4 linked regions of the Lepisosteus oculatus genome follow. The main gene of each other region encodes a partner of the protein of the gene in region 4 in a complex. Links are inferred from orthologs where the notes say so. Each region holds a gene or a part of one and is shown on either strand. Other genes may lie near its edges.

The links. The genes of interacting proteins can lie anywhere in the genome.
Region 1: med12 (region 4) and med8 share a complex: the UniProt entries of both Homo sapiens proteins name them as parts of the mediator complex. The link is inferred for Lepisosteus oculatus from reciprocal best matches to the Homo sapiens genes MED12 and MED8.
Region 2: med12 (region 4) and med7 share a complex: the UniProt entries of both Homo sapiens proteins name them as parts of the mediator complex. The link is inferred for Lepisosteus oculatus from reciprocal best matches to the Homo sapiens genes MED12 and MED7.
Region 3: med12 (region 4) and crsp7 share a complex: the UniProt entries of both Homo sapiens proteins name them as parts of the mediator complex. The link is inferred for Lepisosteus oculatus from reciprocal best matches to the Homo sapiens genes MED12 and MED26.

Annotation. Positions count from the first base shown.
Region 1 is NC_090704.1:2,359,096-2,366,545, forward strand, and holds the start of med8 (mediator of RNA polymerase II transcription subunit 8), read right to left. Parts: upstream 3,129-7,450; 5' UTR 2,992-3,128; coding exon 2,986-2,991; intron 2,549-2,985; coding exon 2,427-2,548; intron 1,775-2,426; coding exon 1,630-1,774; intron 1,440-1,629; coding exon 1,299-1,439; intron 1,046-1,298; coding exon 958-1,045; intron 852-957; coding exon 603-851; intron 1-602. Other genes in the region: KICSTOR complex protein SZT2, read left to right, coding at 3,612-3,635, 4,953-5,078, 5,351-5,524, 6,631-6,801, 7,097-7,231. UniProt on the Homo sapiens protein: Component of the Mediator complex, a coactivator involved in the regulated transcription of nearly all RNA polymerase II-dependent genes.
Region 2 is NC_090706.1:30,433,379-30,441,661, forward strand, and holds med7 (mediator of RNA polymerase II transcription subunit 7), read right to left. Parts: upstream 3,129-8,283; 5' UTR 2,973-3,128; intron 2,058-2,972; 5' UTR 2,050-2,057; coding exon 1,351-2,049; 3' UTR 314-1,350; downstream 1-313. Other genes in the region: itk (tyrosine-protein kinase ITK/TSK), read left to right, coding at 5,898-6,035. UniProt on the Homo sapiens protein: Component of the Mediator complex, a coactivator involved in the regulated transcription of nearly all RNA polymerase II-dependent genes.
Region 3 is NC_090724.1:2,832,995-2,841,028, reverse strand, and holds the start of crsp7 (mediator of RNA polymerase II transcription subunit 26), read right to left. Parts: upstream 3,129-8,034; 5' UTR 2,703-3,128; coding exon 2,631-2,702; intron 1-2,630. Other genes in the region: smim7 (small integral membrane protein 7), read right to left, coding at 5,383-5,398, 5,858-5,948, 6,437-6,489, 6,988-7,029, 8,006-8,031. UniProt on the Homo sapiens protein: Component of the Mediator complex, a coactivator involved in the regulated transcription of nearly all RNA polymerase II-dependent genes.
Region 4 is NC_090703.1:52,282,055-52,289,507, forward strand, and holds the start of med12 (mediator of RNA polymerase II transcription subunit 12), read left to right. Parts: upstream 1-4,078; 5' UTR 4,079-4,162; coding exon 4,163-4,261; intron 4,262-5,522; coding exon 5,523-5,627; intron 5,628-6,067; coding exon 6,068-6,259; intron 6,260-6,533; coding exon 6,534-6,693; intron 6,694-7,027; coding exon 7,028-7,203; intron 7,204-7,453. Other genes in the region: tnfsf10l4 (tumor necrosis factor (ligand) superfamily, member 10 like 4), read right to left, coding at 377-807, 906-995, 1,436-1,481, 2,263-2,412, 2,905-3,084. UniProt on the Homo sapiens protein: Component of the Mediator complex, a coactivator involved in the regulated transcription of nearly all RNA polymerase II-dependent genes.

The DNA.
Region 1 (7,450 bases), on a different chromosome or scaffold from region 4:
TACAAATGCAGCATGACTAACTAAAAATATCGTGCAAATAAAAGGGAAGAAAAGGAAAGGAAAGAACATAACGGAAAAATAAATAAAAATGTTACATTAGGTGGAGCTCAGCTTTTTTTCCCCCCATAAGCAGTCCCTCTGAAATTCACAATACCGCAGTTATAGCTAATCCACTTTTATCTGACAGACTAAAAGCAATACTAGTCAGATCAGTTACTGCCATTCACACCCTTAGCTCACGGGAATTTAAAAAAAACAGAAGCAAGCTACAGGGGAGAAGAGGCCTCTCAGCCCTCGTGACTTCTCATTCCGATTTTTATTTAAGGATCTATAACGGAGAGAAAATCTTTATAACAGGGAGACAGTCACGTTCCATGAAAGAAGCTGCTCCATACGCACAAAAGGGCTGCGGATGCACTTGGGACACTGCTGACTGCAGGAGATGGTTAAGCTCAGGTCAGTATCATTCAGGATGACTGTTCTCATCACGTCGTATTCGTCAAAACAACAAGAGGTGTCCCACTCTTCCTTTGTGCCATGCTGCGACCTGCGTGACTCCTGCCCATCGCACCTGTCCTGCAGGTGGCAGGTGAGGCTCTTACCTGGCTGGCCCTGCTGCTGCTGGGGAACGGGGCCGCCGATAGCCGCTTGTGGGTTGGAAGTGCCAGGCATGGTGACCTGCTGCAGGGTCGGCCCTCCCTGAAGCATGGCTCCGGTCCCAGGCTGCCCCGGGGGGACCAGGCCCCCGGACCCAGGGGGTCTGCATTTCGCCAGCCCCTTCCCGAACCCCACGGCCGCTACCAGGGCCGTTGTGTCCGTGGGGTTGAACGTCTGCTTGTTCTGCCGCAAAGCTGCCAAGAAACGACGCCGTGACTCACAAAGTGTTTTTATTTTTACAGGCTGCTCCATTCAAAGCCTCCTGCGGGTTCTGGAGCGGACAACAGTTTGGCGAGATACCTGCGCTCTCGGACTCGCGGTCCTCCCGAGGGTTGTTGAGCTTCTCCAGTAGGTTCGAGCACAGCTTGTTCAGCGTCTGTATCTGTTTCTGCACAAGATGGGAAAGCCAGGCTTCAAACGGAGGGCACGCGGAGATTGTCAGACGTTTGTTTTTTTTACTCTCATCAGAACAACACCTGTTCATGATTATTAGAGATAAAGAGCTGTCATCGCCCTGCATGCTCAATAAGACATCAAGGTTCTTGAACAGTCCGACGGTGGTAGAACACCCATAGGACACCTGGAGCTCACCGGCAGAGCCTGCCCTAGAGGGTGGGCACCTGAGGCATTCAGACACTCACCTGTGCCAACTCGGGGCCGATGCGGACTGCCTCAGCGTTCAGCTGCTTCTCCTGCTCCTCAACCTCCGGGTCTGGCTTGGTGCGCAGGTGGTCCGGAACAATCTCATGGCTGAACACGGGCACGCGCTGCTCCGTCAGTTTCTAGGGGCAACGGTAAAATTGACAGTGGGCTGGCTTTGAGCAGGCCATCGAGAAGAAATCAGGGTTTTAAATGACATGTTGGTGATCGTCTCCTTGCTTTGTGTGCTTCGCTGACAACAGCGGCACAAAGCGAGGCACGTTCTGAGAAGAGAAAAGCCATGGCAAAGGAGCGAACTGAACTGCGACTCACAGCCAGCTCTTCGTCCCGGTCTGGGGACAGAAGTAGAGGGATGATGACCTGGCTGCGCAGGACAGGTGTCTTCTCATTTTTCAACAGCTTATTGATGGTGTTAAGCTGGCCAGACAAGAGGGCAAAGTTATCCAGCACTGAAGGCCTAAAAAACAAAGAACAACATACAATATTAATTATGGTGCTTCTATCAAAGATCTGGGAGTAAAAAGCAAGGAATTAAAACTACAACCCAACAATAAAAATTAATATCAACTGTACTTAATTACCTAAAACTTGTCTAAAAATGACCAGCTCTGACAGTCACAATACTACTGTTCCTGTAGTGGGCCTGGCCCTGGGTCACATCTGCTCCTTCTCTCCTCATCCAACAATAATAAATACCTCATTAAAAATAGTTACTACTTACATGTCTATATTTTATTTAATTAGACCTAACTGCAATATCCTGAGGAAAGTGGTTATGGAAGACCTTAGAAATGTAAGTCTTGGAATCTGGCGAACCAAAAGTACAAACATTACCCAAAGAAGTATGCAACTACTATTCTCTGGTGTTGTCTACAAGTTTAAAATCAATTATCATTAACACAAAGTTAAAGACAAAGATTACAAAGCTCATCAGCCACACATTAGTCTGTCTGACATTGTGTTACAGTACCCTTCACAAGATTTCTCGGTCTTGCGAGAGTTATTCTAGACGATATTAAGCAAAAGATCTAGAATAATAATAAAAAAAATGTTTTCAAGTTTCCTTTCTCGGGAAAGTGGTAAAACACCTGCAAGCACCCAGCCCTCACCATGCCAGTCTTTCGTACTCGTTCTCCAGCTTGAAGATGAAGCTGTGCAGGGAGTTTTTCAGGTGGGCCACTCGAGTTATCAAGGCGTCGATAGACGCCTCCAACTGTTTCTCTTCCCGCTGCTGCACACGGATGGGGAGAAAACACCACCCGGTGAAACAAAGCTCGTAAGATTCCCCGAGTCATTTTTCGGATGGCTATATTATCGAAAGGGTGACTTTAGCTACACTTGAGCACAGACTTTGTTGGGAGGCTCTAGTCGAAAACGCTGAGAACTTAATATGAGCTCAGAACTACCTAAGGTAACGAAATACGAAGCTGCGGTCTGCGTTTTTGTTGTTTTTACGAGTTAATATTTTTTTCTTAACTTTAAGAATTCGTCTTGTTCAAGAACAGCGGTTACATACTAGAATGAACCTAGAACCGACTGGTTAGCATATCCCAATCTGACCATAAGACAGCATTTCGATTTCAAAATGCACACAGTTTGGTTACCCAACACGTTAATCTACTCCAATATGATTTAAAAAATAAATAAAACCAGCTGGCTAGTACTCACCTGCATCGTATTGTTTATCCAAAATAAAAACCGAAACTGAACAAACTGAGATCCGGAAGTTATCCTCCCGTGTCTATGGTCATTCAAAAGAGGCGAAGGGAATTCTGGGATATGTGGAGGACCTCGGAAAGACTTGCCACACACTTAGAATAGTCATGTGTCACCGGGGGTCAGTTTATTACTTTCAACGGCTCTTTATTTTAGCATCTATGAAAACGGTTGTTCTGTGACAGTTCGTTTTTAGGAATCTAACATTTTACCTGAAGCAAGAAAATTCAAAAGTTTGATCGTGACCAGAAGATACTAATAAATATTAAGCAGAGACGACAGGCGTTGCTAGCCAGTGGCGCATCTTTTGTCTGCCAGATATTCTGCTGGTAAATGCTCGTAATGCCCTCTTTTTTTAAAACAAACACCACAGAGTTCTGCAACAATTCGACAACAGATGAGCTGTTTTAAATATTTCCGGATGGGTTTGGTTTAATCCCGTTGCAGGGTCAGAGCGGAAAGCAGTTCCGGGTCGCGGTGCAGCCTGTGCCAAATAAACAGAAAATTGTAGCGAAATAAACAAGGAGTCTTCGCCGCCACAGCTCCACGCTGACACCCCTGGGGATGCGAGACCCGGGATGGCAGAGGAACAGGACACCGAGGCGAGTAGACACTGTCCCCACGTTATCGGGGTGTCCGCAGAAAGAAGATCAGACCAGTTCGCAATAGGATGACAAGTAAAATAAACGCATGAGGGAAGCTGGGCGTGTTACTATGGCTATAGAAGGACTGGCTAAGAGGCAATGTCTTAAATGACTCAAAGCTCCGTGCATTTTGTGGAAGATGCGTAATTTCTCCGTAACGGTTGTGTCAGGCTGGAGTGCTGGTGGTACTGCTATAACTAGCGACTAGCAAAGTCCAAATGGCTGTTCGAGTTTCTGTGCATCGATTGGCTTTTTGTGTTTCGTAGGAGCATGACTGATAACTGAACGTTTTTATTTTAGTCTAACGACACACGACTACCCCCGAGGTGTTCAGCTTGCAGCTTGCAGCTTGTAATTGTAGTTTTTTTCAGGTAATAATTGGGATTGCTGTAGCAGGTGTTTCACTCCTTCGCCGATTCACATTTCTTAAGTGTCCTTAGCCTCCTTGTCGTCGCGTATTTCCTTGTTACAGTGAATATCATAACCACTAGATACCGTAAAGCACGTCCGTGGTTTGCAAGCTGTCGGTAGTGCTTTCTGTCAGACGAGAAGGTTTTCAGAAGCAGCCACGCTAATGCACTGACGGGGGTAGTGTTGGCAAATGCACAGTATGTAGCAATGTGTATTCTCCCTAACCAGTGTGCGTAGTGTTGACGGGTTTAAATTGTAACAGGATGTCTCCCACGGATGAGACCACCATACTGTTGATGGAATTCATGCCAGCATGGCACCCAGTACTCTTTCTGCCACCTACCCACATGTAGCTGTGAATCAACAAAAAAACGACAATTTACTTCATCACTCCAGGCCATAAAAGCCGTGACGTTGCCCAGTCTTGCCCTTTATCAGAACCCTTCATCGCCAAGGCACCCATGTGTCATGGAGCTATATTCAGAACGGCTTCACCTTGCTGGCCAGCCTGCCTGCGAGCCCGTTTGAGATCCTGTTGTGGTCAGTGTGGTCCATAAAAAAGAAAATGCAGCCGGGGTCTTGATAGCAGCCGAGTCCCTCCTGGGAATGTTATTCTTTACGACTGCAGGCTGCGATCTTGTTCGTGGTTTCAAAATCGTGGCTGCAAGCATTTTCCCAGCCAGTGTTGACTTTCAGGGTGTGGCAGGTGCAGACGCCTCTCGCTCTTCTTTGGGGGTTTCGAGAGGAGGCGCTGCCAGGGCGCGCGGTGCAGACGCTGCCGGCCGGCCGCCCCCTGCGGCGCCCTGATGGGTGAAACGACCCGGGCCGGTGAGCGACGCTCTGAGCTCCCTGTTCCTTCGCCAGGTGGAGGAGGCCGGCCAGGTGTACTTGCTCATGAAGGAGGAGCACCGCATCTCCCGAAACGTGCGGCTTGCCTGGTTCCTGAGCCGACTCAACCAGGTGGTCCAGCCCGACCCGGGGGCCGAGCTGGTGAGTGGGCCCGCTCACGCCCCTGCCCGCATGTTTCGCTTTTAAACGTTGTATCCTCTCGAAGCCGACCGGTTCGGCTCTAGAGTTGTGCTGGTGATGTGTGCTTGCTGTGGCGTACCGGGGGCTGGACTCCTGTCGCCTCGGGAAGGAGCGGTCTGGAATTAAGGGGTGGACTGACGTGCTTGGACCTACGCTGCGTGCTTGCGGGGAACAAGTTCAGTCCTTGCTGTTGTGCCCAGTAACTGAAGTCCCGCTGGTTTTCTGTGCACCAGTTAAGCTCGGAGAATGAGCTGGATGTCCTGAGCATCCTACCAAAGGGCTGGCAGACTGGTGACCCTCCATCCACTGTGCCGTACCTACTGGTGCCGTCCACCCGGGTCACCTTCCTGGCCCGGCGGTACCGCTTCATCATCGAGCTGGACCTGAGCCCGTCCACGGGGATCGTGGTAAGAGTGTCCTCCGTCGCCTGTGCTCGGTCACCTTCCTGGAGAAATTCAGTTTCCTTACTCCTGGGCCGTTGGCTTTTACTCCCACCTAGTGGCAAAGCGCTTGCAGCTTGGGAATGCAGAAGAGCCCCTAAACAGACTTCTGTCTGTCTCTCATCCACAGCTGTTTCATCCTGTAGAGCTGGGATCCTCAGTCCTGGTTCTGGACACCCCCACACCTCCTGGTTTTCATTCCAACCCAGCTTAATTACTTAACTAATTAATCAGGCTAACCGGCTGCTTGGTTGGAACGTTTCTGTTTTTTTTTCCTCTCGAAAATTGGGAATTTATTTTACTCATGAAATGCAATAATTAAATGACACTCTTAAACATGTATAAGAGAAAATGGTAATACTGTCCTGAAGAAAAAAAATGAAGCTAGACTCTCCTAGATCCGGAAGTTAACCCACCGCATCTGCGGTAATCACTATAGTAAAATGAATTCTGGGAGATGTGGAGGACTTTGGGGGGGCGGGGGGGGGGGGGGAACTTGCAAATGTTTTAGAGCTGAACACAGTCCAACAGCTCAAATCAATCCTGTTAAGTCGATTAAGAGTGTAGTTGTCTCACTGGGATCTGTTCTGGAGCAAAATCCGGTAGGTTTGTGGGTCTTCAAGGGTAGGATGGTGAATCCCAAGAGGCTCATGTGAGCCAGCGCCTTACCCAGCACATACAGGTCACAGGGCGGAGCTGTATCCTGGCCTGGACACCAGTCACTGACTGATCAAATACAGAGAAGCTCATGGTGTAAGGACAGCTCCGGCAATTTGACTTGACTGGTTCTTTGTCTGGGCTTGTCTTTCTGCCACACGAAATCTGAACTTCTTGGAAATCATGTCGGGTTCTTTACTTTAGACATAGAAAAAATTGCTCAGTTTTTGACAGTAATACTTTGTATATTTAGTTGTTTTTCTTTGTTCTCTGATCGAACGCCTGGTGGCTTCATGCTCGTCAAGTTATTTGTCTTGTGGCCTTGGCCGTGTGCTGAGGGTCTTTCGCTTTTGGGATCTCGGTGGGCTCCAGGGAAGTTGGCCTGATTGATCGACGTGTTGCGTGTCGTTTGGCAGGACGACTGCACGGGCGAGATGATTTTCGACGAGGTGTTCCACGCTCTCACTAGGTGTCTGGCCGGACTCGCAAGACCCTTCAAAGTCCCGGGAACTGATTTGGTGTTCCAGCCAGAGATCTTCATCACCATCCTGGCCTACTCCTCCATCATCGGACTCAAGTCTCACCAGGTCATCTCTGACACCTTAGTCTCTTGTGAAGAGAAGTGTTTGATAACGGAGCTGTCTGTGGCGGGGAGCCTTGGTAATATACACTCAAACAGGCGTGACTGACAGGTGTAGACATTAGGAAAGAAGATGCAAGGTATTGATCAGGCATTCAGGAGGAAAACAGTGACGCAGCCAGCTGTTTTGACTTGATTCTTAAGTGTTTATAATAAAAGCCACATGGTGCCATTGTGCCGTGCCTGTTCAGATGCGTTTTCCAAGCCTTCTCGGCTAAGGATGCTCTTCCCCTTCTCCGTAGGTACTCGTTCAGGGCTGCCAGCTGGACCGGGCCGACTCGGACCAGTTCCTACAGCAGGTTTACCAGCAGCTGCGGGCTGTGGAGAATAACATTGCGGAGGTCCTCCAACAGCAGCACCAACAAGCGAGGGGGCAGGTGAGTGACTTCAATCCCGACCTTCCAAACCATCGGAACGTCAGAAAGGTTACAAACGGCGGGAGGCCATTCTGTCCATCCGTCCCATTCGGTTTCCACTAGTAAAGTGTTGTGAGGATCTCATCCAGCCATATCGTGGGAGAAGGCAAGGTATCACGCTCAGCAACATGGGTAGGTAGCTTGTTCCAGATTCCCCCAGCCAGAAAAATCCTGGGAGAA
Region 2 (8,283 bases), on a different chromosome or scaffold from region 4:
AATAATAGTGAGACATCAATTCTAATACTTCAAAAGCCCTATAATTTTTTGTGGTAACTAAAATGCTTTATTATCTTAGACCTTTCAAATGTGTTACAAAATGTAATAATTTGAAGTATTTTTTTTAGAAAATTCGATGGGGAAAAAAAAAAAACAATTAATAACTGTAGCTCCACTGACTGAATCAGTCTGAGACCACACTACATCTAATCCTGCAAAACTGAAATAAAATTGGTGCTAGAACAGGTGCTAAAGCATAAGTTTAAAATGAGAATCTAAAAAAAATGGAATAAAAAGGCTGCGATATTAAAAGCAAACTGCAACACTATTTTTATATTTCGTGGTTACAAAGAATAAGCACAGAAGAGTGCATTTCAAACCTTAATAAAAGTAAGATATACAGAGTAACATGTGATACCTCTAATTTACATCTCAAAATAGGCAAAATTTCCAGGTATGTGCAGCACTATATTCGGCGATTCAGAACAAGACATCAAAACGTCCAGTGATGTGAAGCTGCCTTATCACATTGTAAACAAGCAGACTTGTGAAAACATCTCTTGTAATCCCATAGAAATATTACTGTCGACTTCAAGATGGTTTTCCTTTCAAATACTACTTACTAACTCTGCTTGCAGATCACGTTGGAACGTTTCTGGGGTGAAACGTCTGCTGCACAACCTGCACTTATTCGCTCGGAAATCACATCACATTACATACAGTACTGTACAGTCATGACAGGGACTAGTGACCAGGAAGGGCCACCCCACGTCACAATTCACGCAGTTCTCGAGAACTCTCACCCGTGACGAGACCAAGGGTTTGTGACAACAATGGAGATTACACAGTCATTTCACAAAGTTCACGGTTCTGTGCTTGATTTGGAATTTGTCAACTATTTCTGTGCCAGCAATTATTTTGTTACAGAGATCTAATAACCGGTCTGGGAAGTTGGAACTGCAGTTCCCCCTTAAGCTTGCTTTGGTCAACTGGATACCAAACCTTTCTTAAGCTTGCAGCGCAATGAAAAGAGAAATGTCCACTCAAAAGTGTGACTTTTATTTCCGAAAGGTTCCTGAGATATTTTCCTGCTTGAACAACAGCATAGCCTCAGATAACACAATACTCAAACTGTTCATCCCCTAGACACTTGTGACTTCTGCTTATTTTTGCTCTCAACATGCAGCCAAAGAGGACATCAACATTTTAGCATACAGTACACAGCCCCTTTAGCCACACAATATCATATCTTTATTCTCACAACTCCTGATGTTGCAGCTTCAATGCGGTGTCGCATTGCTTTGAGAAAAAACACCCATGTGGTATTTGAAAGTACAAGGAAAAGTCAGTTTATGTCATTTCGTCAATGATGCTGCACATGGCCGCATCCTTGTCCCACGTTTTGTCCCTTTTGTCCTTTTCTTTGTCCGCCTGTCCCACCATGCAGCCGCCACCGGCCTCGTCCACGTCCATGGGCTCCGATTTCAGCCGGGGGTGCCCCCCGGTGCCCGCCTCGGGCTGGGGCAGGTCGTCGGGGAGGGAGGCCAGGCAGCCCTGGATCACCTCCACCACCCGGTCCAGGTGCTTCTGGAAGCGCTCGGCCGTCTCCAGCCGCTGGCGCTTCTGCACCTCCATCATCACGCGCAGGGTCTCGCGGGCCTGGTGCGGCCGGTACTCGTTGATCAGGTGGTGCATGTGCACGAAGAGCAGCTTGAGGTCCTCCAGCTTCTCCTCGCGCTTGATGCTGCCGGGGCTCTTGATCAGGATGTCCAGGAGGTCCAGGAAGTTCACCAGGATGGACATGTTGAGCTTCTTCAGCTCCTTCTTGTGGTCAAACTGAACAGGGTGGAGGCGCTCGATGCCCTGGCTTTCCAGGGGGCGGATGATGAGGTCGTCGCACTGGAACTGGTTGCCGAACATCATGTAGGTGTCCTTGATGGGCGGCGGGGGCTTGGGGGCGAGGGCCTTCCGGACATTTTCGTCCGTATACTCCTTTATGTACTGCATGGGTGGCGGGGGGAGGGCACTGACCTGCTGTGGCTCGCCCATGGTGGAACCTGTGGAGACAGCAGCTTTTTTTTTAAAACTCTGCTATGCAACTACATAACTCATTCTCGTGTTGCTAAACAGCACTAGTTTACCACGTTGTTATGCAGATCGGTTCTGAAATAACTTGCTTTAAGACAAAATACAGTGTAAAAAGCTGTTTTGGAATAAAAAACACACAATGCTCATGGAAAATGCAACTAAACATAAACGTATGTGCAAAGTTGTTGCACAAACCTAATAAAGATGGAGAAAAATTAACACTTTCTGATCAACAGTTGCCAATAGCATAAATGTACTCCATAACATTAAACCCAAACGTATGGTAAAGTAAAACTCCAATGTATGAGTATTGGGCGTGTGATTATTTTAACGAATAATCAGTTCATATTGACAATAAAATGATGAGAAAAATGTTTCAGCAATCGGCTCTGACCATCTATCTACAACAATTTTTTTTTAGGTTATATTTAAGTCCCGGACGATCTAAAAAAACCCGCAGAATGTAGCATTTACTTTTGTTTATACTACGTTGAAAATATTTGAAGTTACAACACTTGCCAAATAAGACATGCCTGCATCAAAATATTAATCTTCGAGACCAATCCAAAAGCATCTTGCAGGATAAGGACACACTGTACACCACATTCGTTGTGTAGCGCTCACGAAAACAAGGGGCTTACAACATCGCATATTTTTGTTAAATGTACCTTATAAACATTACAACTAGCCGTATGGACCACGAAGACACCAATGTGCCAAATTTAAAAATGAAATGTATTTACAGCGAACAGTTTACAAAAGTAAAACAGGGACTGTGCTGGTGCTGTTGATATGACTGCTATTCAGTGGGACACGCTCCATTCACCCACACTACCTGTACATATGTCACTTTTTACAAAAACGCAGGGTAAACTCCTACCTACCGTTCGTCGACTTTATAATTTTCTATTTCTGAAGCATTCACAAATGGGTATTGAATCCCTTGAATATATTAGATGAAGACATCTAGCATTCTCTCAACAACGCTCGGTTCTCTTCCTGCACAACAGGGGAAGCCCAGGCGCCATTGGCTGGAAGCCGTCTCGATCCTCTTTGGATCTCATTGGCTTTTCCAGTCTCTCCAGATTCATCAGCAAAGTCTATTGGACGTAACGCGTTTAATAACGTAAAATCCGATTGGCTACGAGAGTACCTCCCTCTCGCGGGCGTAGGCGGAGAAGTAATAGTAGGGTAATAGTTTGCAATACTTTACTAATAGTTTGCGATCGGAAGGGAATGTATTTAAATTGACAACTAATTATATGAAATGTCTAAAAAAATTGATAAAATAAAAATGGAAGTTTATTCTACTGCTTTTCAGCCTGGCCCAAGCGTGGGTTTCAGTTTAGAAGTGCTGTCTTTACTAATTAAATTATAAATTGATATCACCCTCCACCCCGAGAAAAATACACAGTGCAGGGTTTCATAGGAGAAGCGGTCCTATGAAGGAACTGAATAACTGAGTTTAACCACCCTTGGAAAGAACCTGGTTATTCCGACACTGGTTTCCGAAAAAAAAAAACTATTCGAAATTGTCTTCTGTGTAGACTAGTGCCACGATCTGACAAACCCTACATGAAAAGAAAAATCAAACCCACTTCTTCGGACAAATGTGCTGGACCATATCACTGAGTCTTGCTTGTTTAAGCTCTCTCGACCACAACTGGGTCAAGGTCTGTGTCAGTTCTGCATGTTGCTGTTTGAACTATGTAATTCAGGGTTCCATTTATGATTTTCTTATAGGAGCTGCACATCCCAGTGGATCTGGTGTTTGGGGGGCTACCAAAACGTGGACATTCAACTTTGAGAGTTTGTGAACTTGTCTCAGGACTGGGTGAAACAGAAACAGTATAATTTATTTATTGTCTGGACATGCTTTCACTGCTTATTATTTACTGTTTTGTAATGTACTGTCCACATTGTGTGGTGTTGTCGGTTGCACTGTGCATGTCCTAAGAGAACTGAAGTAAGAATCCCAAAGTACACGTACATATGGCAAAGAAACTCCTCTATTTATCTAATCATGGGGGCCAGAACTCTACTCTTTGTGAGCAGGTCTAGGTGTACTGCTTCACAGGAAGCAGGAAGGAGGGGCAATAGCCCGTGTTTGTGGCATTCTGGGAGGGACCCACACTGAACAGCTGTCCAGTGTGGTTTATGGAGAGTTCTGGGATGTGTTGCCTTATGAGGTGTGGGGTTCTTGGGGTCTCCGCCCTAGCCGCTCCTGACCTGCCAGTTGGTCCCTCACTGCCTGGGCGCGAACCCGTGTCTCTGGTGTCACACTAAAGGGAACTTGCCAGCTGAGCTAAAGGAGACTTCCCCCAAACCTGGGCAGCTAAGATCCCTGTTATATGGACATTGGCTCCTCCACCAAGAGCAGGGGTCAACAGCTGGACTCCAGCTTATAGGACTTCTAGGTCCAGCAGACCACGTGCAACACCTGCCACCAACCACTTCTGTATCCTGGTTGTAGCAGTTATGCACCAAGACCTCTAATCCAACTGATTGCCAGCAGGGGGATGGCTATCTCAACAGCGGGACTAATGAAGCAGGGAACCTGCAAACTGGGAAAAACCTGGCTTGGCTCTAGAGTCAGGATCTAGAGAGATGATATAACTAAGTACCTACAGGAAGATTCCATGGACTGATTCTTGTTCAGTAACTTTTAATGCATTTATGTCGACTTGATCAGTTCTGTATGCATGTCAATGTGTTTTATAAGACCGTGTGTGAGTCTGGAAGAGGGAATCCAATTGGAGGAGAGACCATCAAGGTTGAGACTGGGTAAGTGAGAGCTGTTGCTCTGCTGCAGACTTCTTCTTGGTAGAGAAGCTATCTTATACTTACAGTATGCCAATAAGAGAGCTAAAGAGTAAGTCCCTCGCCTCTTTTTTTTCTGAGCCTAAATGGGAACATGCCAGAATTACAATATTAAAGAGTTAAGCCCAACGCTGATATACTTATTTAAAACAAGCCCAATGCACTTTGGCAAGAGAGCCACATCTTCAAGACATGGTTATAGATTCAGATAACTGATTTGATGCTTTTGAGTCTGACGAACCAGGAGTACAAATGTTGACTTTCACATTACCTGGGAAGTGGTTAATTTGTAGATTTTTTTTTTCATTTTGTCTGTGTAAACTCTTTAGTGTTCATAAAGTAAAAAAAAAATGCTAACCTTTTCTTAATTTGTGAAATATAAGAAACAAAACACGTCTTCAGTTCATTTGTGGGAAGACAAAAAGTATACGCGAGGAGATTTCATTTTAAAAACATAATTTATTATCCCCGTTTTATTTATTTTTTTACCTATTTATATCATTAAATGTGTTTAAATATTCGTGGGATACATAATTGTGTGATGCAAATCAGTGGGTGGACAGATGACTCATAATCCAAGGGATTATTTATAATTTAAGATGTCTGTACTGTCACTACTGTACGTAGCACGGATATAATTTAAAGTGACAAATGTATTCATATGTTACAGCTTTCAGTTCCACTCCCAAAAATTGTATAAACTCTAGTTCTGTACGTGTATATTTGGATTTGTAAATGTATATATACATTTAAAAACTCGGTTTATTTCTGGAAAGATTTTAATTTACGAACAGAATTCAGAAGGAAGTGGTTTTGCCTGCTGCCTTGCCGGAAACTAAGTACCTCATATACTTCTTGATTGTTGTGAAGATAGTGCATTGCATTTTTTTTATTGTGTAAGCACCATACCAAACTAACAGTACACTGTCTCGGTTCTTCTCTTTCGACTCTAGTAAAAGGTTTCTCCATGAAGGATCATTTTCTTTAGGATGAATAGACAAATCATTTTAGAAGAGTTTCTTTTCAAGAAATCCCAGCAGAAACGAAGAACCTCACCTTGCAATTACAAACAAAGATATTTCGTTTTAAGTAAAGATGAACTGGCTTACTTCGAACATCGCCCTGGGGTACGTAACGTCATTTCACTCTTACTTTCAATGATAAAAGTAGAATTACTGTAATACAAGTGTATTTTATACAAGAACCTAATGCTTCCAAGAGAGGCACCTGAAACGAGCACGATATGTCTTCAGCACTGTTTAGCGCGATGTAGTTCCACAACCGCGGTTATCTTGGAAAAAATAAATAAAACAGCAATTAGAGTTACGCCAAACTTCATAGTCTTCTGCTTTAATTTATCCTGAAACCATCGCCTGTGGCATCCAGTAATGCAGTTAGATCATTGATATAGCGGCGTGAGTTAAAACGGGTTTCTTTTGGTTCTGTGTTATTGCAGCGTATAATGCACAAACATTTCAAAATGTCAAAAGGATTTTATTTTTTAGTAAAGCATAAAATTAATAATTTGCCATTTCAGGCACTGTGAGTTTCAAGGATTAATATCTTATGGATGTCAACATGTAGTAAACAGCTATGATGGTCTACGTAAATGTATTACTACATACAGTTCAATTTTTAAAATTACGTTTGATATATGCGTTACATCCACCCCCAAAAATTAAATAAAAAGATGCACATCTACTAATATCCATGAAAGGCTAGTTTTAGAACTAAAATAATTGGATAAGCATATGTAAGACTATGTTAAAACAGTATCACATTAAATAACTTAAAACAAAGTTTTTACAGTATACAGTACAGTATATTCCCAAACAATTCCATCGTGGTAAATATCTAATACAGACACAACATTCATAATTTACAATTATTCCTCCGCCTGTGAGTTTGATGTCATTTTTATGTAGTATTTTGTGTTTAAATTTATTGAATCAACATGTCTGTTTTCTGTTCGTTTGAGGCAATTCTTATGGGGAGTTAGTTGTATTGTACTTGCCTTGGACCTCAGTTGCTCCTTTTTATGTGTATTTTAAGAGCAATATTACAAGATTTGTAAGCCTGAAATACATTTTTGGTTTTACACAATGTTGGGAGTTTTAGCATATATTTAATTCAGTTGTTTTGTTAAATATGGGAATTGTTGTTGGCCAACATGGAAACCTTCAGATAAAAACATAGCCCTCCCTGCCTTTAATCTTCAAAGTTACAGCTGAACAGGCTACATGTTGAAGTTCTTGTTTATTTGTCTTTGTACTTTGATTAGTGTTTTGTGTAGTAGCAATATCATGATCCACACCCCAGGTGGAATCAAATTAGTCTGTCTTATTTGTCGACTCATGTTTAACTGATTTTTACAAAACAAGCTATAGCTTTGCTTTTATCCATTTAAAAGTAATAAACAAGTGAACTCTAACATCATTGCTAGAGAATGGTTGTTTCAGACATCGATAAATTGTATTAATCTTCTTGCCTTATTTTGCAGGTCTAATTCATACGAGGTTGTTAAATTTATATTTCAAAGTTGAATGTCCTTTTCCCAATATATATATATATTTGTGTAAATTCCACAGTTCAACTTTTAAAATAGATTTGAGAGTGCATTTTTTGTATGTATTGTAATATGGATATAATGTTATAGTCATACTAATATAATCATATAATAAAGAGTAAGCAATTGCACGTGAACAGCAGATATTTTTCTGTATTTTTTTCTATTAACCAGTGTCACAATTAGCAATACAATATGTGTAGATACTTTATAAAGCCTGTAGAATAAGGTGTTTCTGATTAGTCTGTTAACAGTTACTTATCTTTGGCAAACAAAGTATTGAAGTGATGGAGAAGTCTTCTGCCCATGGTGAAAAATCTCTTTTTTTTTTTTGTTTGAGGTAGTCTTTTTAAAGTAAAGAAAAAAAATTGTGAGCTAAAATGTTATTAGAATGTAATAGAATTTGTAAAACAGCTTTTGAATAGTATTTAATCTATATTCATTACCTGCTGTATATACATTAGTTCAGTTCAGTTTATTGTCATATGCACTGAAATGTGTATTTGCATGTGTGCTCCAATACAAAGAATACACAGATATTAACAGCGCACAGAACAGCAGCACCACCAACAACAAGTTAAATAACATACATATTAGAATAAGTTACATGTAGTTGATTAAAAGTTTTTCTTTAAAAATAACTTTGTCTTTCCCCTTAAAGATCATGTCTCCTGGTACAGAAGATGCCAAGTAAATTTGTCAGATGATTTAGAAGCATGATAAATCTGTGTAGACATCACAAATGTAGAAGGTCCACCCGGTCTTTTATGTTATAATAACTTGAAAATAATCCATCCATCAGTTGTTAA
Region 3 (8,034 bases), on a different chromosome or scaffold from region 4:
GTAAATGGCCTTCCCACAGCAAAGAGCACTTCCCTAATGTTATGGGGTGCTTTTACGTACAAGATTAACGTTACCCACTACTTAAAGGTATCGAGTGATCATCTCCTCCCAATGTTGCAGCATGTCTTTCCCATAGGTTGGGGGGAGGGGGGGTGTCTTCCAGGACGATGACCCCCCCCCCAAGTCACCCCGTGGTTTGATGAGAATGACACTGAGGTTCTCCGTGTGTCATGGCATTCTCAGTCACCAGATCTGAACCCAAACAGGCACTTGCAGGATATTCCAGAATAATGCCTGAGACAGTGTTTTCTACCTCCCCCAACCTTGCACGAGTCTTGTGGATGAATGGTGATGCATCCCTCCTGCAGAATTCCAGACACTAGTAGACTTTATGCCATGGTTAACACACCTCGAAGGTGGTGGCTACACACTCTATTCGGGGGAATTTTATTGGTGCTTTCATTATTTTCTGTCCACCTGTGCATGCTTTGCAATCTGCAAAACATTTTTCTTGAACGAAGATGTACTTTAATGTGGATCTGACCACATCTTTACATTGATATGCTGTTTGGGATGTCTGGGTAATTTACTTTATATCACAGGAGCTACTCCTGAAGCACTCCAGTATGAGGAAAGCAAGGACTAAAAGGCTTTTACCAATGGACTCCGGTTAAATCCGTTTTCCCTAGCCCATTTTAAGTAGGCCTTAGAAATGACTTGAAAGCATGGACAACATTAATACACCCAAGGGCACCCTCTTTCCTGTGACCCTCAGCAACTAGGAAGCAACCGAAACAAAATCACTTAAATAGGCAAAGCACACACGTAAAAAACAAAGTAATTCAAAGTGTTAGAAACTTTCTTACACATGATCTAAACTCCATGTGCCCCAGCCCCAAACTCTTAATATTCGTCAAATTAAAACGTTGTGCCTACAAATGCACATCTGAAGTTCATACCGATACTTCGCCATCCAATAACCTCAGCCAAGTACGTGAAAACACTTCCTGTGTCAAGTCTAAGCAGTTACTTCTTAGTATAAACCCCTGCCGCAGTACAACTGAAGAACTTAAGTCGGTCTAAAACACTTTAGCACGTGTCTTTAAAAGACATTTGCTCAGACATAAGCAATTCATTTCGATATAGAGTGATTGTCAGTTTTAATGACGTCGAGGGTAAATCTTGCAGGAGGCAGTACAGCACTGTAAACACTGAAAGCAGATGTCGAACAAACATAAAAAGCGTTATTTTACATTATAATTCGACTTCTAAGCAGTCTTTTTATATTCGAATTTCTTTTTCTTAGCGTTAACACAAGAAAGGAAAATATCACCTACATTATCAACACAAATGGTTGAATCTTTTATCAGTTTATTTTACTTAACATTATTTTAAAAAACAACTAAATTAGCAGGAGTATCACACGTTCTTAAACTCCTAATTAGTTTCTTGAATACAGTATTATATTACATTAAGATAGCACAAATGTATCGCGTTTTGATACAGCTAATTTCTTATCTGAAAAGAGATACGTTTTAAAAAAAAATCCAAAGTGTATTTCTACTTATTTTCCACGGTACCTAACTTGCGAAAAGAAAACGAGACGGGCGGAAAAGTTTTACATTTAGGCCGTAAACACATCTACTTCAGCGGTTCCCCCTTCTCGTAGGCCCGTCAGCTTAAAACCGAAGCCTCGGGCTCGAGTACAAGCCCGAGCCGGGATGAAGGTGGCTCAAGCCGCCGAGATATTTTGACTAGAGCAAGCGCCGAGGACCCGAACCTCCGAACTTTTAATAAGAATCGGGTTGTTAAACGTGGGGAGGCATTTTAGAAAACACTCTGTAGAATAAAGTGTGCAACTTTAAGAGTGTGTTTCTTTAGCCCCCAGATTAAGTATGGCCCTGTCAAAAGAAGAGCACTGTAGTTTAAAGCAGTTTAGACATTCTTTCAGGCTCTCTCCCCGTGCATATATGACACGTACATTAGGTTATACCCCACATTTTGGGAAAATACGAATGATTTCGAGGGCAGAAACACTGACATGTACACATCACACACACACAAGAGAGCTACTCTGAACAGGACAACGCATCCTGATGTGTACACACACTTCCACAGGATCAGTATGCGGCGGGGAGACTACCCTCAATTTAACAACCCACAGCGAACTGCTGTCCATCGCAGCCTGAAATAGGGCTGAATTATGTGTCGTTCGCCCCGTGAGGAGCTTGCAAAGCGAAACCTAAGTGCAGGGGTTGGGGGGGGGTGGGTAGAAAAAAACTATCAGCTTAGCAAACCAGCTAGTCAGCATCGAACTTGTCCAGGCGGGGACAAGTCACTCCTGCGCTTGGCTACACATTTCCCCCCCACACTGCATTTCCAACGTCTTGCACAACCTCTCGACCACATTGGACGGTGGTCGGCTCCTGGCTAGAGCCGGGAGTCCCGATGGTGGTGGTGGTGGTGGTGGTGGTGGCGGCAGGGGGGGGTCCCCTTTCGTGTTTGGTGCGCGGTGATAACCTGTAGATCGTACCGGGGACACCCGGGCGAGCGCAGCCGGAGCACTCGCAACGCACGGAGATACGGGGGAGAGAGAGGGAGAGGGAGAGGGAGACAGCGCCGTTACTCACATTGCTCTGGCTATCGATGGCCTGTAGCAGCCGGTCTCTCATCTGCTGCGGGGTTGCCGAGGCCGCTGTCATTGCCTGGGCTGGTGCGGATCGGCGGACTGGGCAAGGGGGAAGATTCCTCCGAAGAGACGGGTAGGTGACTTGCACACACTCACAGGCCTTTCGGGAGATGTGCTAGGAAGTGGCGCGGCATGTTTTCTGTGGCGCTTTTTCTCTCGCTCGCTTTTCGTGTGCGTGTGTATATGTGTGCGTGTGTATGTATGTATATATCCCGGGAGAAGGAGCTCCGATCTCGCCTGTGCTTCACTATCACTCCGGCGCTCTCCAAACTCCAAGGCTCCCTGAAATAAACTGGAGCAAAACGCTCGCCCGGCGCATGATGGGAACTACACCGGACGCACGAAAGCACTCGACGTAACAGCCTCGACGTCGTCACGTAGCCACCTGCTAGTGAGACACATGCTCAGACGTCTGACAGGCTGGGCCGGCGGTACACGCTGGGACCACTGGGTGCTCATAAAGGGAGGTGGGCCGGCTTTTTTGGAAATTGCAGCGTGCATCGCGGAACAATGAGATTGAGACGTGTGACACACAGGAGCACACACACACACACAGAAATACATTGCTCTGGAATCCGCGCACACCTGGTTTAGCACAAAAGGCTCGGAAAGCATGGAGCCGAGATACAGACCGGCCTCTCGTTTTAAGCTAACGTCTGCCCTGGATTACGTGCAAGCCCAGGTCCCGATTCTCACATGAACTGCGAAGAAAAAAAGTCACAGCCCCGCCGCGCAGTTTTCACGCCACAGCCGAAATTTCTCGATTTAATGCAATTACTCGTACTTTCTAGTCATCTAGGCACTGGCTGGGGTGGGAAGAGGGAGAGTCTGCGTCCTCCATAAAACTGAATTTCTATACCAGGATACAGCGATAAACTGGGTTTGAACATTTAAAAACAGACACGGCTTCGACTGTTGAAGAAGTGGAAGCTGTAATTAAATCAGGGACATAATACGTGGAACTGGGGTGGAAAAAAACAACAAGAAAAGCTACCTACAAAATGACCCAACAAAACACGAGCTGTTCTAGATAAAACGAAAAGTAAATGCAGAAATCTAATGTACGTTTTCCTATTGTTTCTGAAAACAAAAACAAATCTAGGAATTTCTCATATAGCATTTTTAAAAACAGAAGGATAATGCGTCAAACTAGGGAGGTCTTAGTGTTTTCTAATTTTCGTCCAACACGAGTAGTCAGTTAAACAATTGGCTTATTTTCTCATGCACATTCACGACATGCAGCTCTTATTGCTGTACGTATCTGTGTCGTACTTCTATTTGTTCTGAAACACAGTCCAACCTAAACATATGGGATTGCCTTATATCGTTTGGGAAGAACGCCCCCTGCTGGCTTCTCTATAACAAATGACTGCGGGTTAAAGCACTTCTATTTATGTTACACAGTACATAACAGTTTAAATACTTAAATTATCGGAATACCCACTGATAACCAACGACAAGGTCTTTATAAGGGTTATGGAGTACTGGTACTTGGCTCCATCAACAGGCCACTTTTCACCACACTGAACTGCACGTCATTTTAGAAAAAGGTAGAAGGAAATATTTGACAAATGCTTTTGAAAATTCAGATTAGGGTTTTTAAAATCCAAATAAATGCTATTTTATCAGATAAGGGTATGAAGTTAATGACATCAGTATACAAAGTTGGCCAGTTATAGTATAAAAACATAAAACAAAAATAAGGTGCATGTGATTAGAGAACCATAGGTCACATTCGGTACCCTAACAAATGACAAGATTTGAGAGCATATTTTGATTAATTTGAGTATTTCACATCTATACTGTAGTCAAGTTTTTCCTTCTAATTTTTCAACAAAAGTCAGCATACTTTAAAACAATAATGAGTCACAAATATAAGTCACAATGTACAGATTTATATTTACATAAACATGAGACAATAGAGGTTTAATAGAGATCATTGGGGATGAAGGGAGATTTGCATCATGATTATACAACCAATTAACTCAAAAAAGTTTACATTATAGGCTACAGATACAGATGTGTAAACAATACCCTAAGATTTGTTTCAGATATCTGGTCCCTTGATGTTCGCAATGCTTTAAGATAACTAAGTAGCCTGGTCTGTTCGATAACTAAATAATCATTGCTGTCTGCAAGGCGTGAGCCTGGCTACAGGGAACATGTGCTTTGAACAAACTACACACATGGGGATCTTGAATGGGCACACAAAGCTGGGAGCCGAGATATTAAGGAAGAAATAAAAAAGTGCCCCATGTTCACACCCCATGAAACCACAGCAAGCAGGCTTCAGGTGTAGCTGTGTAGAGACTGTGTGAGCCGAGCACAGCCATCTAACACTACAGAACTCCACCTTTCTCAAGTACTTACGTCTCAGGGCAAAAAGAGTGTTCCAGCTGGAAAGACTGGGACATGCTCACTTTTTTTAATCTGCATCACTGGAGAAGGTGAGCATTTGGCATTCAACATTGGGGAGGAAAAGACACTTCAAATTATAAAAATGGGGTACCAGAAGAGTAAACAGTGTAAGAATTCCAATTACATATATAAAGTGATGTGTGTAGCATTTAGAAAGCCCTTTAACTCTTATGACAAGTAGTCTTATACCCAGAAATGTTCATGTATAAAAAGTCTTGTGTGGGAGGTAATTCATGTAGGTATGGTTTTGTGCATCTTCTTGTTACAGCTCATCCTTACGATCCAAATAACCTGTGAAAAAAAAATAAAACAGGACCAAATTATTCTGAGCAGTAGCAGAGGTTACTCCACAAGAACCTGATCAGAAAAGGAGGAATATAGAACATGGCAACAATATTTTATACTGCTGGAGTAAAACAAGATAATATGTTCTCATTTACCTTTGTGTGCTACTAAATATATGCATGATAATTAAAATCATTCAAAGATTTTCAGAAAGGAAAAACACCACAGGTCAACTCAAAAATGTAAGAGGAGGAATTCTCCCTCAACATCTTGTATTTTAATTACTGTAATTGTTATTGTCAATAACTGTCTGAAAACCTGGTGAAAGAACTGAAAACTAACATCACATTCCTGTTCTTAAAACACATTCTCTGTACATTGCAATATGAGTAGTTAAAGTGTTTAAAGACAACAGTACACAGTTACACAGCAAAAACTGCCAATCACGGGAAAAACGGTACTTACAAGATCATGCAAAACATCATAAAAATGTTCCATAAGGCAATAAAGATCCGGAAATAGCGGAGACTCAAAAGAAACTCCCGGATGTTGTCTCCTTTAAAAACGAAAGAAAAAAATATGATGTCTTATTTCAGGTTAAACAGTGTAATATGTAGCATGCTGATAGCCATTGGAATGTTCTTCCTCACTTTGCACTGATGCTCTGATTGACACTCTCTTTTCCAACTGCTTGGCTGTAATGTAACTCTCTAAAAGCTATTAAAACCTCATAGAAACCAAACTAAATGGCCCATTTCATTATTCAGCTACATGCACTGCATGCAAGACAAGGTAGACTAGCTGCAAGAGCTGTGCATCTCAGAAATGAACCGTGCCGTGAGCGCCCCCCATTCAGTCAGATTCCACCCCATCCTAAAATTCTATATTGAACACTACATTTCTATACTGACCAGATAGGACTAACCAGCATTAATCTCTCAAATTTAACTTCCAGTGGGGAAATTGTATCATGTTGGCGCTACACCTACTACTGATACACATATCCAGAGGCAACAGAAAAGCAGACTGTTGATTTCTTGTTACCTGTTGTAGGGCCATGGGACTCATCTCCGAATGCTTGAGACTCTCTCTTCTTTCTGTGGCACAAGAGAAAATAGAATTTCAAACACTGGTTTGTTTAATGACATTGCAGACTCAGACACAATATTTTCTAGGACTTTATCTCCTTCATTTTGTAAGAAATGGGGGAAAAAAAAGTTCAAATCAGGTGAAGAGACCACAGAGATTGTCCACCTAACTGCTAATACTGTAGAACTGGATTAAATATCACTAGTAAACTGGTATTTTTACAATACTCCTATATTTTGGCCACTGCATTATTTGTTAATACAGGGGAAAGCCATAAGATTTTTCTTCAGGATCTTCTCCTTATAAGGCCAAGTCATCTTGAAATCATTTTAACATGGTTTGTTTTACTGCTGCATTAAATGCTATAGATACTTCAAAATTCTGGACTTCACTAAAGTGGAATTACCCATTAAAATGAGGACACTGTTAAAACCAGTTACCAGATGGTAAAAATGGCTCAACAGTAATTCTTCCACTAATAAAAATATTGCACAAACGTTACTTACAGTTTAAAATTTAGGACTGCTCCTGCATTCATGAGCAATGTCCTACAAGAAAAAAAAACAGCACCAGTTGTTATGACAAACCCATTGTTAGGAATATGCCCACAACAGTAGCGCTTTTTCTGATCATAGAGGAAGACCTTTCTAAAGAAATTCCTCTTAACCCACCCTCCTTTAAACCATAGCATGCAACAGAACTAGAGATAAACTGCGGAAAAAGTCTGACTGCAGACAAGAATAAAAGCTAACAATTAATTTCCCCCTGGCCTTTACCAATCATGGCCTCCTTCTAATAATCACCATCTAAGAAGTGGCTTCATTACTCTGCTATCCTCCCCAACTGAGAGCTGATGTGTGGTGAGTGCACTGGTGCGTCATCCAGGTGGGGGCTACACACTGGTAGAGTTGAAGGGGAGTCCCCATTACTTGTAGAGCGCTTTGAATGGAGTGCCCAGAAAGGCGCTATATAGGTGTGAGGAATTCTTATTACGTCAAACACCCAAACACAAAAGGGGTGTAACCTGTATGTGTCGGGAGGCTGTGACACTTTTCTAGTCTTTCAATGTTTCCATTTCAATGTGGTAACGAAGGCGGGTGACCAGCTGCGGATATCAAAATGTGTCGAATGAGACACTGATTACGAGTGATCCAAAACTGCTGCATGTCACTGCAACAGTAAACGTAATATATCATAGGCTTAAGCCTCCAACAATCCCTTCAAAAGCCATGTTGACTACAGCGACAGTACATACCGGAGCCTGTAGAGTACACGTCACTCTGTACAACAGAGCTTCTGTTGAACACTTCACTCTTTGCAAACTGAAACATGTCACAAAATAGCGTTTTAAAAAGTTATTTAAATACCTGCGAGGCAAATAGGAACCACGCTGTTAAAAATAAAATACTGACGTATAACTAAGCGATAGAAATGTTTTCCTCTAATAGCCTTCTGTGAAACTACATACCTTAAAGAAAACATCGAAAATCAATATAAACACAAAAAAAAGTGGCAAGTATTTACCCGAACAGCAATATATCGCCGATCATTTT
Region 4 (7,453 bases):
ATGGGAAAATTAGATCTAATTTTTATTCTTTAAACGGATGTGCGTTGTTTGAAAATTAGACTAAGCTTTTTTTTTTACTTTTCCCATTAATACCATTATCAGAGTGGATCTGGCTAGCAATCATATGAGTGCAAACCTGATCAGACACAAATCCCCACAAAGGGAAATACGTGTGTGCTAATTATTATCATTATAAATACCACAGCAGTTAAAAACTAGAGTTTCTGTAAAATAACACACTTGCAAGACTTTAGCGACATGGCCTTTGTGGGCAATAAGACATTACATAAAGATTTCCTTAGTGCTCTTCTAGAACAATAATAGAGAAGAAAATCGATTAACCCAATACCTGTTCAGTAATTTTGAACTTCACCAGTTAAATTACCATAAATGCTCCAAAATAAGTGGAATCCTCATTCAAATACACAGAGTGGATGTCATGAACCTTCAAAATGAGCTGGTCCCCCTGCTGCAGCTGGAACAGTGCCCCCTGGTGGCTGGAAACTAGATCGCGTTCCAGCTCCATGTTCCAGCATCCAGTGGAGGCAGCCTTAGAAAGAAGGATAGGCTCCTGGTAAGATGTCTTCCTGTATATGTAGTGTAGAAAAGGCTGGGCCTGCTCCTTGCCAGCTGGGCGCTGCGAGTGGTAATAAACCTGGGAATAGACAAAGTAAAGCCCATCTCGCGGCACCACTATGCCTCCATCCTGACTGTATCCCATCATGCCTTCTTGCACGGCCATGCCATTCACATTGTCCCAGCGTACAACGGCTCCTCTGGGAGTCGTCATGGGGCCCCATTGACTGCCTGTGGAGTACAGAATAAAGACAATGAGCAACAAGCTTTCCTACGGAAATCGAACAAGACACTAAATGCAACACCGTCGTGTAAAAACATGCTCCCACCTGGCTTTAGCCACAGAAACTGTCTCCAGCCCTGCTCGGGGCCCAGGTGGATGGCTGGTTTGTTGGCGTGGGTCAGGGACACATTGTGGGCTGTGAGAAATAGATGAAAACATCACGGAAAGAAGTACCTTATAAAAACCCCACATTTGCCTTGCAGATGGTCTGATACTTATCACAATGCCTACAGTACATGCTCAAAACCTCCAACTTTCGTTCGTCTTCTTGATCTCCAGCATAAACAAACGAAGCACTGTGCTTCTCAAAAACATGCCGCAGTGACTCAGTGCAACTGTCGTGACACTTGGGCGGAGCGGTGGCTCTGTGGTTAAGGATCTGCACCTGTGGCTGGAAGGTTGCCGGTTCAAATTCTGTGGTTGGCAGAGGAATCCTACTCCATTGGGAATTGTATATGCCTACTAAAGTGATCTTTAGGAGCAGTGCTGGGCAAGGGAACCTGTTGGACAGGATTCTGACAGTGTGCTGTGCCAATGAGGACAGTGATTTGAATATGTTGCAAAACAAAAACATACCTGTAAGCTCCTGATACAGGGTGTTCCTGACATCAGATATCAGTTGCTGCAAGACAAAACAACAGGCTCCAGTAGTCAGCACTAGGACGAGAGCGTGTATGTGGTGGACTGAATGACATATCCCACTTGTCTACGTCACTTATTTCTCTCTTGCTTGGGACTGCAAGGAGAAGGGAGCATTACAGATCAGGACTCCCATTGAGAATGGAATTGGGTGTTTCTGTTCTGTTATAATAATTCTTTACACTTAAATAGCACTTTTCTGGACACTCCACTCAAAGTGTTTTACAGGTAATAGGGACTCCCCTCTACCTAAGTGCAGCCAGATGGCACCAGTACACTCCCCACACACCAGCTCTCAGTGGGGAAGAGAGCAGAGTAATGAAGCCAGTTCAGAGATGGGGATTATTAGGAGGCCATGATTGGTAAGGGCCAATGGGAAATTTGGCCAGGACGCCGGAGTAACACTCGTCGAGATTCTTTTGAGAATCATCCTGGAATTGATAATGACCACAGAGAGTGAGGACCTTGGTTTTACTGAGTGTCCCTATCACTGTAGTGGGGCATTAGGACCCACACAGACTGCAGGAAGAGCACCCCTACTGGCCCCAATAACACCTCTTCCAGCAGCAACATTAGTTTTTCCAAGGAGGTCTCTCATCCAGGTACTAACCAGTCTCATTCCTGCTGAGCTTCAATGGGTCGCCAGTTGTGAGTTGCAGTTTGATGTACTGTAGCTGCTGGCTCGTCTATTAAGCTCTCCTTTCCCTAGTCTTGGTTAGTCCAGCGTGAGTGAATCACTGCCTGTTAAGTGGGAGTCTCGTTACCTTCCCGATAGTTTTCTTGAGCTCCGCATTCCACTGGTCACAGCCGGCAAGGTCTTCAGAGCTGAAAGATGCATTTTCTCGAAGGCCTGGATCCACTAGGTACTGCAAACACTGTACAGGATACTCTCCGAGCCTGGCCACCTCCTGGGTCTGGATAAGTGAAGTACAATCAGAGGCGTAATTGCAAACGCAGGACGCATACTTCTGCTCTGTAACCGGGCGGTACAAGTACCTGCGCCTCTTGTGTTTCGAATGATCAACATGGACTCAAAATCACAGTTCATCTCACTTTTTTTTAGATAACGATTAACCCGGTAGTCATCAAACAATTTAAAAGTTTTTAAAACATCTAGAAAATGAGCGGCTTATATGCACAAAAAAAGTAATTCATAGTACAGGAAATCAGTATTCCGACAATAAAAAACATATTCAAGCAAACTAATGTTCCAAAATAGTTTTCATCGCCGTTTTATTCTCTGTCTCCTAAGTGAAGTCCAGCCAGAACTGAAACTGATCTGTTGCTGAGCAGCGCGTACAAAAGTCCACCGACATTACTGTACCTTCAAGGAGTTCTGTAAGGATGAGCAAAGCCAGTTTTTACTGTTTAATCAAGAACAGTGTGTATTAATATGATAAGCTTACCTGCTTTATTTCCAGAGCCAAACTGTAGAACAGATAGGCAGCCCCAACCACTTCCGCTCCGAGTAAAAAACACAAAACCAAAACGAAACTATTCCAGCTCCCGACGCTCAGCTTCCTCTTGGGCGACAATTTCTCCTCCAGCTGCCTGTAGATGCGGTGGGTCTGGGACTCGGTAGTCATGTTTCTGTCGTGGGGATCCACATCGTTATGATAACTCAGCAGCAAAGATTAAAAACAGGGTCTACAGAGAAATGGGAGCCCCCCCAGCCGCCTTACTGAGCCCAAGCAAACCTGCCCGTTACAAGAACTGCGGTCCTTCCCAGTCGGAAAGTCCCGAGCGCAGTTAACGCCTCCTGAGTCACTGTGGGTGGGATGAACGTTTTCGGAGGCATTGATTTATTTTGGTTTAAACCTTTAACTGCAGTTATTTCTACAATTTTAATGCTAGCAATTAACAACAGCGACAACGAATATGATGATATTATTTTTTTTTGTTTTTGAACTTCACAGGTATGCATGCATGAATGCGTTTTGTCGCAGCCTGAGAAAATGTAGACAACACACAGCTGACCTGGACCTCATCTATGGCCATCGAGATAAGAAAGATCGGTGAAGAAAACTCACAGCGGAAAAAAAATAAATAATGTAGCGCACGCATTATTTAGAAAACACAACAAACTATCTTTAAAATTAAGACAGAATCGAAAATTGTAAACTACTTAAAAAAACGAATCAGAGGACAGGGGATGATTGGATTAGCAGAAATGAAAAAAATGTTCTCAATCTACATCATCAAAAAACCCCAACAACAACAGAACCTGTTCATTCTCCGAAGACTTCTTATTCTGGAGAAAATATAGTTTTGTTGACTATGATGTCCTGCCACCACTGTTGCTGTATTTACAGTATATTGTACATTATTAAGCAGTACAGTACTATATTCATGAACAGACTTGTTTGCTCTCTTTGCAGTCGTGAATAGTGGGCTGGTTTACTGGGGGAAGGTTCAAATTCAACCCTATGGAATTTGCAATATATCCATATGTCTGTTTATATAGGATCCGCCCCCGACCTTCGGAAACTTCCGTCAGTATGTCTGGCTGCTTCGGCAATTTCCGTACGCGGGTCTGGCGGATCCGGCACAGCGATTGTGTTGTCTCGCCGTGGTTATTCGGTTCCCCTTTCGTGTGTTTCCGCGAAGACTCGGCACTTGTCGTAGCGGAAGGGGGAAAGCCTTTGCTGTGATGCCGCTGGAAAGATGGCCGCTTTCGGGATCCTGAGTTACGAGCACCGGCCCCTAAAGCGGCCGAGGCTCGGGCCTCCCGATGTTTATCCGCAGGACCCCAAGCAAAAGGAGGTGAGGAAAGGGGGCTCCGGGCTGTCTGAGCCCCAGCAGGGCACTGGAGGGGGTGCCCGAGCGGGCTGGCTGGGAGTCGGGCTTGCAGGAGAGTCCGAGGATGCAGCCTGGGCCTGTTTTGTGCTTCAGTAACAATAACAATGAGCAGATACACAGACGTGAAAAATGACATTAGGTTCTTGCAAAACTGTTTGAGTTTTACGTGCAGCCGGAGAGCTCAGTAGCCGCTGTTGTACAGGGACTTGTAAAAATAACACCAGAAATGCTGCTCACCTTGTGTTTTTTAATAATTTTATATGCCCAAGGTGGTTTTCTGCCTTAAACATAGACGCTGTGCTCCAGTGTTTATGGCAGAGATGGGAATATTCCCGAGCAGGCTGAATACACCACAGCAATGTGTTTTAATTATGCACGGAGCTACGGTTATCAGTAACTGAGTGCAGCAGTGGTGCTAAATGACGTGACGAGCTGTTGTGCACTAGCTCTGTGAGCCTGGACGCCGGTTTGTCGTTGAGAAGCAGTTCTGCTGTCCTTCTAACCAGTCCCGTACAAGAAACTTTACAGTTTCAGTGCGGTTGTGATCAGCCTTCCCCAGATCGTACCGGGGTGACTGACGGCGCGAAGCACTTCAGTCGCTGCCCCTTACGGTCTGAGAGACGTTTCTGAAATTTCATGTCTTATTGCTGTGTGAATAGCACACGTAGAAGGCGTCAGAGGTCATTTATCAGTGTGGAATAGTGTATATAATATACATATATATCGCACTACTGCAACGACATAGCTTGCTGCCGAGGTTCTTGCAGCCCAGGGCACTTGTGCCAGCTGGTTTGGAAAAGAGCCCACCAGCACAAAGCAGGCAACATTAGATAACTCTAAGGAATGGTTTTCATTTTCAGTTTGTAATCACGACAGTCTTGTCATTAAGCACACTGCTGTTTATATATCAGTGTGGAAAACACTAGCTTGTCAGGAGTCTGCAAAGTAAGAGGCAGGGGGGCAGGTTTGGGTGACATTTTAGACGAGACACGGGGAATGCTTTCCTTTTTTGTGTACAGCTCGGTGATCAAAGTTGTGCCTTGTGGGATGTCCTGTGTCTATCGTCAGTGCAGCTTTCACACTCCGGTGTTTGCAAACGAACGGCCAGTGTAGCCCGTGCGCCGGTGGGGGAATGGAAGTGTGTAGCACCTCCTGTCCCAGCCGCAGGGTGGCGATGACAGTGCTGTGCTGCTGGCCACTCAGTCTTGGTGCTTTATCCCGTCAGGATGAGTTGACAGCTCTGAATGTGAAGCAGGGGTTCAATAACCAGCCGGCGGTTTCGGGGGACGAGCATGGCAGCGCCAAGAACGTCAACTTTAACCCCTCCAAGGTAAGGAAGAGTCCTCAAGGTTTGCTTGGCCTGCGTTCTTCAGTGCCATCTGGTTGCAGCAGTGTGTGCCACTGTAGGAAGCAAAAGCTCTCATTGTCTGCTGAATTTGTGATAAGTTGACATGGGTTGATGGAGTTGTGTACCTTTTTGTTTCTTTGGCTTTACTGTAAACAGAAGGGCATTTGTGAACATGAGCTTTTGAAAGATAACAACTTAACATCGCCACTCTGATTGTCTTTATTTCACCTATGTGCTGTTTTTGTAATTGATGTTATTTGTTTGGTTTTCTTTGCTTCTCAATAGATAGTCCTTTAAGTAATACTTCAGCTTTCTGTCAAGTTATGGGATAATAATAGTGGAAGTCTCTAACCCTTTTAGTCCATCCACGCTTCTGTTACAGTATGAATTCAGTGCTCATTCGGTTCACGTTCTGTTCACAGATCAGCTCCAATTTCAGTAGCATTATTGCAGAGAAGCTGCGATGCAACACGTTCCCCGACACAGGAAAGAGGAAACCCCAAGTCAACCAGAAAGACAACTTTTGGTTGGTCACTGCGAGATCCCAGAGCTCCATCAACAACTGGTTCACAGACCTGGCTGGAACAAAGCCTCTCACCCAGCTTGCTAAGAAGGTGTGAACAGTCAAATCCAGTTCATCATGCTGAACTTTCTCAAGTTATACGTTAAGTGTTATGCTTGGTACAAAATGCATTTTTCTTTTAAAATGAAAAGAACACAACTTCACATGAAATGTAAAAAACACATGTAAATGTGTTTATGGAACTTCAGTCTGAATATGTAGATAAAATAATTCTGAAATTAACTGCATGTAAGGGAGAATGATGAAAGCCATATGTGCCTCTGAGAGCCTTTGATTCCTTTTTGTTTGTCCTTTGCTTTGACCAGGTACCCATTTTCAGTAAAAAGGAGGAGGTTTTTGGCTACTTGGCCAAGTACACTGTGCCAGTAATGCGTGCTGCATGGATGATCAAGATGACCTGTGCCTACTATGCAGCCATAACCGAGACCAAAGTGAAGAAGAGGCATGTGATTGACCCCTGTATAGGTAACCACTCCTCTCCCTCGTCCTTCATGTCAGTGTTGCCGAGCTTTGACTGATGTGAAGCTGTTGATTAGTAGCATGCTTGTAGCGGGGCTTTTGGAACTCTTTAGGAAGAAGACAAATGTTTTTTTTGTAAGATGTTGAAAGAGTTTTGTTTTCATAGCCTTCAGCAGTCCGGGGCAGGATCTGATTTCACCTCGGTTACTTAAAGGCTATACAGTGTTAGTTGTGCATTTAACTGCTTCATGAAGGACACAGTAAATATAATTCTGTTTGACCACAATGCAAGATGTTCCCCTTGAGCCTGTAGTTTTTTTATCGTTGTGCCCGTGTGCAGAATGGACCCAGATCATCACAAAGTACCTGTGGGAGCAGCTGCAGAAGGTGGCTGAGTTTTACCGTCAGTCGTCCAGCCAGGGCTGTGTCTCTCCACTGCCCTCCACCCCAGTGGAGGTGGAGACGGCGATGAAGCAGTGGGAGTACAACGAGAAGCTAGCCATGTTCATGTTCCAGGTCAGATGAATGCAATTCGGCTTGTCCTCCTGGAGAGTGTAATACAAAACTCTTCCAGACATTTAGTTGTAATCAAATATTTATAGATGTCTTATTATATTTCCCTTATATATTAGTGTTTAGTGTTCAGAAGGGTGATCACTTTTCTTCCAAGGTCCTCCAAAGAGTGTTAAAGGAAATAATGGATTATTCAGGGATGTGACATTCAGAGCAGGTCATGTGTTTGGGGAAAAGGGTGTATCTTCGGTGC